Daphnia pulex: one gene and its partner. The protein of the gene in region 1 interacts with the protein of each later gene in a pairwise test. Links are inferred from orthologs where the notes say so. Each region holds a gene or a part of one and is shown in the gene's direction. Other genes may lie near its edges. The genes, in order: Golgi phosphoprotein 3 homolog sauron-like and 14-3-3 protein zeta.

The links.
Region 2: the proteins of Golgi phosphoprotein 3 homolog sauron-like (region 1) and 14-3-3 protein zeta interact in binary tests that used the Drosophila melanogaster proteins (3 or more experiments, as listed by UniProt). The link is inferred for Daphnia pulex from reciprocal best matches to the Drosophila melanogaster genes sau and 14-3-3zeta.

What each region holds. Positions count from the first base shown.
Region 1 is NC_060019.1:8,788,491-8,793,131, reverse strand, and holds Golgi phosphoprotein 3 homolog sauron-like, read left to right. Parts: upstream 1-1,558; 5' UTR 1,559-2,231; intron 2,232-2,456; 5' UTR 2,457-2,470; coding exon 2,471-2,674; intron 2,675-2,744; coding exon 2,745-2,991; intron 2,992-3,056; coding exon 3,057-3,232; intron 3,233-3,305; coding exon 3,306-3,554; 3' UTR 3,555-4,435; downstream 4,436-4,641. UniProt on the Drosophila melanogaster protein: Phosphatidylinositol-4-phosphate-binding protein that links Golgi membranes to the cytoskeleton and may participate in the tensile force required for vesicle budding from the Golgi.
Region 2 is NC_060019.1:12,249,464-12,253,668, forward strand, and holds the start of 14-3-3 protein zeta, read left to right. Parts: upstream 1-1,405; 5' UTR 1,406-1,660; intron 1,661-1,843; exon of another isoform or gene 1,844-2,058; intron 2,059-2,419; 5' UTR 2,420-2,436; coding exon 2,437-2,736; intron 2,737-3,303; coding exon 3,304-3,427; intron 3,428-4,014; coding exon 4,015-4,178; intron 4,179-4,205. Other genes in the region: mRNA turnover protein 4 homolog, read right to left, coding at 1-131, 193-355, 416-443. UniProt on the Drosophila melanogaster protein: Required in Raf-dependent cell proliferation and photoreceptor differentiation during eye development. Acts upstream of Raf and downstream of Ras, and is essential for viability.

The sequences.
Region 1 (4,641 bases):
CGTAATAGACTGCAGGAGACACACATCGGCTTGAAAGTTGGCGCAATTGTTCATTCGCAAGAGTCTCACTAGTTTCTTTTCTTAAATCGAATGTTCAATAGCGGCTGCTGCTCCTGTCGTCGTCGTCGTCGTCGGCCGAGCTACATATACAAACAAAAAGGAAAAGGAAAAAAAAACTCTCCAGTCCATATGCTCTTGAGCTAATGAGGTTGTGATGTGGCAATAAAGCGGCCAGACGTCCCTATCCGCCCGTTTTCTTCGTTCCCTCGTTTTCTTTTCAAAAAGACTACTCCGCAGGCAACAATTGCGCCGGAGAGGACTTCATCTTCTTCTTTTACATGTATAGCTAGCTAGCTAGCTCTTTTTTTCTCTTTTTTAGCGAAAAATGTTTCCAACATAAAAGAGATGTGTGTTGGCCGGCGAATATTACATTTTCAATGTCTTTTTCACGTGTTTACTAACATCAGACGAGTCGGATCAATATTCTCATCAACTGTTCTATGCTGAGCTATTTCCGCTCTTTGCAGTTTTTGGATAACGTTGGTTTTCTAATTAAGGTCAGATGAATTATTTGATTCGCCCCGTAGCATACAAATGCCGGGATTCTCTCGGTCGGCATTCATCCCCCCGACACACGAGCCGCGGTTTCATCATTTCGGTCGGAATCTTGTTTTTTGGATTTTGAGCCGGCACGGAGAACACCAGCTGCCATCTTTCGGCTGCCAACGCCGTTGCTGCTGAGAAGATCGTGACGAAATCCGGATGCGTTTTCACACAAACTCCTCGGCAGTAATTATTATCGGATTAGCTGCCTGCAAGTTGGCTGGCTAGTTAGGTGCCCACGAAAAGTGACCCATTATCGCTCTTACTACTGCAGAGATATGACCAATTTAGTTGCTGGTTTCACCGTTGCTTGAGCCAAATTGTGTTACACAACTTGTAACAAGATAAGCAAAATATTTGCTGACTTTCTACGGATTTTTTAAAAGGATCAGAAAATGGCCAAATATTTACACACATCTTTCGGTTGATATTAGTAGACTAGGCAACGGGGCTACCAGATGTAGAACGTGACTGATTTTTCCGCTTCAACATGTTTACATGTATAGAGTGAATTATTAAGCGCAGGTAAAAATAGGTGCTGATGTAATGCGTCAAACGATCCTGTCATACTGATATACTATTGCGATGTATGGAAATAAATGTTGATTCTTGGAAATCGAGTTTTCATTGCGGAATATAATTACAAATCAATTTTTCATTCGTCGGTAAAAAATTTCGATTTTCTTCCTACACGTCGGATGAAATGGACAAGCGTGTTGTCCATTACAGATTCATTTTTGATTCCCCAATTTAAACTTTGTTAGATTGAACCTGGTATAAGGTCCTGTTACATCCAAATAAGTTTTTTATCTGATTTATCTAGACTTATACCTTTATCTGAATCGAGTTCGAGGCGGATTTCCCCATCGGAATTTTTTAATTGGTAGGTATAAAGCTGCCACCTATCAATTGAAATTGAAACTAGCAAGGAAAACAACTATTTTTCCTTTGATAAAATAAAAATCGTCATTTATGTTTCATCGCAAATATCGGGTCAAATATTGCAACACATTTCTATCTACATTTTCCCATTGACACAAATTAATGTTGTCATAGTTACGATCCGGACGGGAAAGATAATTTTTTTTTAAGGGCTTATGTGTATGAATGTCCAGTGACGGACTGATTGACGAGGGTTATATTTACACAAGATAACAATTCTTTCGAAAGAAAATCGCCTAAACCTTTGCACTACCATAACTGTCATAATTTTCCCGTTTTTTTCTGTGCTTACGTTTACACAATTCACCAAATACGAATCGCGTACCGTGGGAAATACCTTCTGGTTTTTTTCATTTTTGAATTTTTTTACGCCACGTCGCAACTTGCAAGCAGCAGGCTTGTTGCCTTGACGACCAGGCAAAAATCGACGTTTTTACAGAGAGAACCCTACCTGCTTGCCAAAGATTATACGTGTACAAAAGTTCTTCTATACGTGTAAGAAGGCATAGACGAGCCTCCGAATGTCAACAAACTCATCAGCCAGAACGAAGTTACAACTGTAGTGCCCTTTTCATAGTTTAGTTTCCTTCTTCTTGAGTTCTTGAGTTTGTTTTTCGTTGTCTGCGACTGATGAGACGTCGAGCGTATTGCCACAAAGCCAGTATTATTCTTTCACAAGTGCACAGGTCAGATTACCTCCTCTACTTAACAAAGTAGCTCATTACTCTTCAAATAGATACAGTTCAGTTCTTTTGACTAGAATAATTTCCCCAAAAAAAGGATCAAGTCATTATTATTTCATTACATCCAAATGTCAAACTCAAAGTGTATTCATTTGGCATTTAATCATTCATAGTTTGGTGCTTTCTGGAGTGGTTGTTCTCACTTCTCACAGTTCTTTCTGGTTACAGGTTTTGATAGAAAAATGAATCGTGAAGGGGTTGTTCAAAGGAGGACTGCTCGTGTGGGGACTGGTGGCGGAGGACCTGTTGAGATATCGTCAGGTCCAGCTGATGTTGAAGACCGCCGTACAAGTAATGATACAGATGATATGGATGATTTGGATTCCAAAGAAACAAGACTCACCTTGATGGAAGAAGTGTTATTATTGGGCCTCAAAGATAAAGAGGTATACATAATATTTATTGTGTCATACTTGGTCCATTTCCCCCCTAAATTTAATTTTTTTAACTTTACAGGGCTATACTTCATTCTGGAATGATTGCATATCTAGTGGTCTTCGTGGATGCATATTGATTGAGTTAGGCCTACGTGGTAGAGTTGAACTAGAGAAAGGAGGAATGAGGAAACGATCCCTATTGGGGAGAAAAATTCTACTCAAGAATGACTCACCTACTGGAGATGTTCTCCTAGATGAGGCACTCAAGCATGTCAAGGAAACAGATCCCCCTGAGACGGTACAGAATTGGATAGAATACCTCAGTGGTGAGTGTCATTTGTTTAATCCTCCAACTTTAGAATTTTTCATTGATTTTCAAATATTTTTACAGGAGAAACATGGAATCCCTTGAAACTAAGATATCAACTGAAAAACGTCCGGGAACGCCTGGCCAAAAATTTGGTGGAGAAGGGAGTATTAACGACAGAGAAACAGAATTTTCTCTTGTTTGATATGACCACTCATCCTCTCACGGACAATATCATGAAAACTCGTCTTGTCAAAAAGGTGTGACGTCTTCACATTCTCAAAGCCAGCCATATCATTAAACCTTTTGTTCCTTTGACCAAACCATCTACAGGTACAAGAAGCAGTCTTATCCAAGTGGGTAAACGACGCTCATCGAATGGACAAACGCATGCTGTCACTCATCTTCCTGGCTCACGCCTCTGACGTGTTAGAGAATGCCTTTGCCCCATTAAACGACGACGACTACGAGCTGGCCATGAAACGGGTTCGTGAACTCCTCTACCTTGACTTGGACAACGAGAGTGCAAAACCTGGAACCAATGAGTTGATGTGGGCTGTTTTTGCTTCCTTTACCAAATGATAACGTTATTATTGTTACTAATATTGTATTGCTATCCCTTTCGTACACTCCTATCCCTTCCCATATCATTTATTTTTCTTATTTTCTTTGCCTATCCCCTTTCTTTTGATCCTTATTTAGTTTCTTTCTTTTTTTGTTCCGCGTCTCCATTATTTTTCCCGTTTTTTAAGCTACTGGCCATCGAAAAAAATAACCCTACCTTTGTATACCTACATAGCTGCAGCCAGGCTAGATTTTCCAATTCATTCCTTCTTTCAAACCATTTTTCAGTTATTACTAGCCCCTCCTTCTTTTTTTAACAATATTTAGAATATCCTACGAGTGTTATTAATTTTCTCCATTTTGAGTGTGCGTTGGGAAGCCTCGATTTATCTAAAAATCATTTCCAAAATTACCGATCACGCTCACAGTGCACTTGTTTCCTCTTTAATTCAAGTTTTCTTTAAATGGTGAAAGGGAAAATATTCATTTAACGAAACCACTATTATTATTATATAGCGAACTCTCATGATTTAACGTGGGTTGAAACGTGGAGGAAAGTGGGCAGAGGAGAGAGACGTTTTTGTTACAATTCTGGGGAAATCCCGTTGTGGTATGTATTGTAAATATACCTTCCATCGGGAGCGCAGCGCGCCATCTTTAAAAATACAACAATATAAATGAAATGAAAAATATGTAACCTGCAAACTGTGAAATGATTTGCGGATTGCGACCCTCAAAAATTCATTTGGATATGTGTGTTTAACAACTCCCTTTAATCGGCTAATGCTATATATTAGGTACTATATTATGTGGGAGAACGTGTATAACATGTTTTATTTCATTACTGCATGTACACACTATTGGTAGTTTGAATAAAAAAATCAGGAATTCGGATGCAACATGTGGTAGATTTTTATTGTCTTTTGTTCCTTCTTTACAGGTAAAATTCAGTGCTGCCATCTTTACGTACAGTGGTTAGCAACCGGAAGCTAGATCAAGGGAAGCGTGGTTGTTAGAAAATGTGAATTTGGGCTGCTTCCCATCTTATCACAATCTTTGGTGTGATTCCCAATGAATCAAGTAATCAACTCTGAAAATTTGGAAA
Region 2 (4,205 bases), about 3.5 Mb from region 1:
GTTTATCTGTGAAGACAATTCCACACTGCCCTTTAAGTCTTTTAGAGACTTCATGAAGGTTCTCTCTGCTTTCAGACTCTTTAGTTCTACCTAATGCAATAGCAATCACTCTGTTTTTACCGAGGAAGAACCTGAATCCGACCAAGCAAATTATAATTGACATTTCATGATTCATCATAAAACCAAGTTTACCTGCTGTCTTTCCACTCATTACGAATAGATTTCAGTTTGTTACTCCTCATATTTTGAACTGAAAAGAGATACAAGTAAGAATATTTCTCAACACAAGATCTAATGTCCTCAACCAATTGCTGTTTTCCACCAAGACCCTTCTTCTTAGTTTGTGTCAATGAAACTGAAAAATAAAAACATTAAATTCAGTTTTTACAAAAGTTAAACAAACAGAGAAACTTACTTTTTTGGAATCGCTTAGTTTTAGGCATTTTAAATGTTGTTTAGGTTTAAATTAGCGGAAATAGCGTCTCGACTTCAAGTTTGGAAAAACCACGTGTTTCGTTTACTATCCTAAAGAAAGACTTTGAGACTGTGAGTCGTCTGCAAACAACTACAAAGTTGCCGATTATTTTTAAATGTATAAAAATTAACGATATTTTCTTATTTTCCCAGATTTTACATTATTCTGTAAATTGCATTTGAAACATTAAGTACGATAACAGTAGGATTATTTTAATATTATACATTCACATTCATGTCAACATTCAAATTACTCAAGTGACTCTCGCTCCAAGCATTTTACTTATCTGAAATCTATGATTCATTAATCATTATCTTTGCAGCTGTAGGCCTAAATTTATTGAATTTCAAAGAAACTGAGCTCGAAGCCCTATGTGTTTATTTCTTTTATTCAAAGGTAAAAGTAGTATTTGAGACCGGTATTCTTATGACTCGTTTGTTGTTCTTCAATGCGACGAGTGATGAGCGAGCAAGGACCTGGCAAAGACATAGCAACCAAAATAATTATCACTCAATCGCTGAGCGTTTGGGACTATTGGGTAGTTTTTCTAGATCTAAACTATAAAGTTTCATTGGAAACAAGTATCTTTCATCAATTGTCCATGTTTTTATTTCGAAAATGTTCATTTGGCCACAGGGACATACTGAAGCTCGAGAACATTCTATTTTTTTCCCTCCCATTTACTATTCTGGCACAGAGTAAGGTTCTTTTGGAGATAAAAAGACTGTTCAGAGACTCAACCGTCAGCGCCCCCTTTATTCCGATATTTAATCGAATAGAAAGTATAATTCGTATAAAGTGTACCGTACAAATATAAATATTTAAAAGTTATGAAACTTGTTTCACCGTAGCTGTGTGGTAAGATCTTGGGCAATTTGAGTCTAAAAATATCTTAAGAGAATTCTTTGCAAGTTTTCCTGTTGTCGCAGATGGCGCTAGCTCCGACAGCATTTCAGTGTCCAGTCTTTCATACTTGGCGACTTCATCCAAGAATTCGATCGTCGATTGTGTTGCCGACGCGCGTATATCGATTAATAAAGACTCGATTAACAAAGAATCGATTACATCGCATATCGATTTAAACTAGTGGGAAGGAAAGGACGACTTGCATTCGCCAAAGACAGTTCTCAGTTGGTAAAGCTCAGCCAGCGAGGCATTTTCCGCTACACTTCGGCACCCACTCACGTAAGTTTGAGAAACTTGAATATGGTAAATGTAAGCAAGGACGGCAAGGATTAAAGTGAGAAATCGTGAGATTGTTCTTTTTGCGAATAAATGTAATGGAAATTCGGTTGGGCAGCGTGAAGCTGTAGCCGGTGAGGAACAGGGCGTCTAGAGTAGAATGTTCTCTAGTGCAGCTAGTGAGAGGCGCCATCTTTGCTCCCTACGCGACAGCTCGCACCAACCCATCCCACATTCCTTTCCTTCAAAAGTCTGTACTGGTGTGTCTTTATGTGCAGCCATTTTCTCTTTTGTAAAGAAGTCGCGTGTGGCTAATTGTAAAGATTCCCATTGTTCGCCAATTCAACCGAGGTATTTTATTTCTAGTTTTTCAACATCTGTGTCCTGCCTGCTGACAGTAGGTAGGAAGTAAAAGTGTCGGTGTGGCTTCGTCTTTTCAAGGCCATAGTAAACTTGATTAATGCTAATATTTTAGCTTTTGGTGTGTGTGTGTCTCAGCACACGAGGCCTCTCTCAAACGGAGGGTGGGTTCTGACGCTCCCGCGTGATTCATGCTTAAGGTCAGGGAGGGTGTGGTGACTGGTCCAATGGTGGCCGCTGTTTTGCGTTTTTCAGTAGTTCCATCCGTCATTCATTTAGTTTTCAATTTAAATCGAAAGATTCGTACTACGTAGCAGTGGGTTCTGCACCTGCATATCTGGTGTCTGTAATTATATCTATGTGTATATTAATTTCATCTTTTTCTCTACGTGTTTCCAACAGATATATATTAACAGAAAATGAGCATGGACAAGGAAGAATTAGTACAGCGAGCCAAGTTGGCCGAACAGGCCGAGCGTTACGATGATATGGCGGCGGCCATGAAATCGGTAACAGAGACGGGCGTCGAGCTGTCCAACGAGGAACGGAACCTGTTGTCTGTGGCCTACAAGAATGTTGTGGGTGCCCGGCGGAGTTCTTGGCGTGTCATTTCGTCCATTGAACAAAAAACTGAGGGATCCGAGCGAAAGCAGCAAATGGCCAAAGAATACAGAGAAAAGGTCGAGAAGGAACTTCGCGAGATCTGCTACGATGTCTTGGTAAATAAAATTAATCCTTCAATCTCTTATTTGTATAACATGTTCAAATGGAACTTTGGTCTTCGTACATGATCAGTCGACTTTCGAAACTTTCCGATTACATGTATTCATCTTGGTCGCTGAAGGTTGCATAAGTCTAGACGGTTGGCATCATTGTCATAGCTTCAAGGTCTTGCTCAAAGATGGCCATGTGTTGATGTGTCTAGGGTTAAGCAAACCTGGTCGACGCATCATTTCCTATGTAGTCGTAATGGCAGAAACCTGCGCACATAGGAAGTAGTGCAGTCACCTCCCCCTTCTGTGTATGTATTGATCTTCCCAGTTTTGTACTTCTTGGGTCGATCTATCAACTCTCCCTTTTCCCACCATTTTCTTTTTTTCTCGGGCTTTATTTTTTGGCTCGACCTTATGCAGGGGTGTTACCTAGCAACCCATTTTCTTATTCCTAGTTGATGCTTTCTATTTTATTGTCCTTTAGCCCAGTACGTTTAATCAACTAGTCTTCGATCCAATTATCAACCGAGATATGACATAAGCTAATGAATTTTTTTTTTTACTCTTCTGTAGGGTCTGCTCGACAAATTCCTGATCCCTAAAGCCAGCAACCCTGAATCCAAAGTCTTCTATCTGAAGATGAAAGGAGATTATTACCGATATTTGGCCGAAGTCGCGACCGGAGATACCAGAAACGGTAAGGATTGTTGCGTGCCAATTTGGGATGGGCCATTCAGTGAGGACGCTGGCATACCGACGATTACCTAATGCGTGCATAGGCGATCGCAAATGAAATCGATACTTGGGTTAGCGTGGATGGTTTCACTTTTGTTTAATTATTTTCAATTGCAGTCGGAAATTGTGGTTACAACTCTGCCGTTCGGATTGCGCACACAGATTAGTTGAAACTTGCAACGTTGACTCATATTTGGAATAGTTCGATATCGGAAATACCGATTGGTTACTTGTCAATTAACAAATGTCAAGTTTGGCATTGGCTAGTTGCACGAACTTCCGTGATTGCTATACGCGGCTTGGCTTCTTGCCATCACGAATTGGGACGCCGGCTCCCGTAAGCGGTTTAAATTTGTCGTGCATCTTGGGAGATGTTAGCTAGCAAAGGCTTTATCGAACTGTGCAATCCGAACAGGCAGAGCCATCTGTGAAAGACGACGTGAAAGTTTGAAATGGGTGGAGGGGGACTACGCAGTGGGTTACGTTGATTCCTCGAGGGGTTGTAATCAAATTTTTTGAAAATTCAATTTGTTTATTGAATACTTGTAGCCGTTGTCGACGATTCTCAAAAGGCTTACCAAGATGCGTTCGAAATCAGCAAGGCCAAAATGCAGCCGACGCACCCAATCCGGCTGGGTTTGGCTCTCAACTTCTCGGTCTTCTATTATGAGATCCTGAATTCACCTGAGAAAGCCTGCCAACTCGCCAAACAGGTCCGTTTGTATAAGACTCGCTTACTA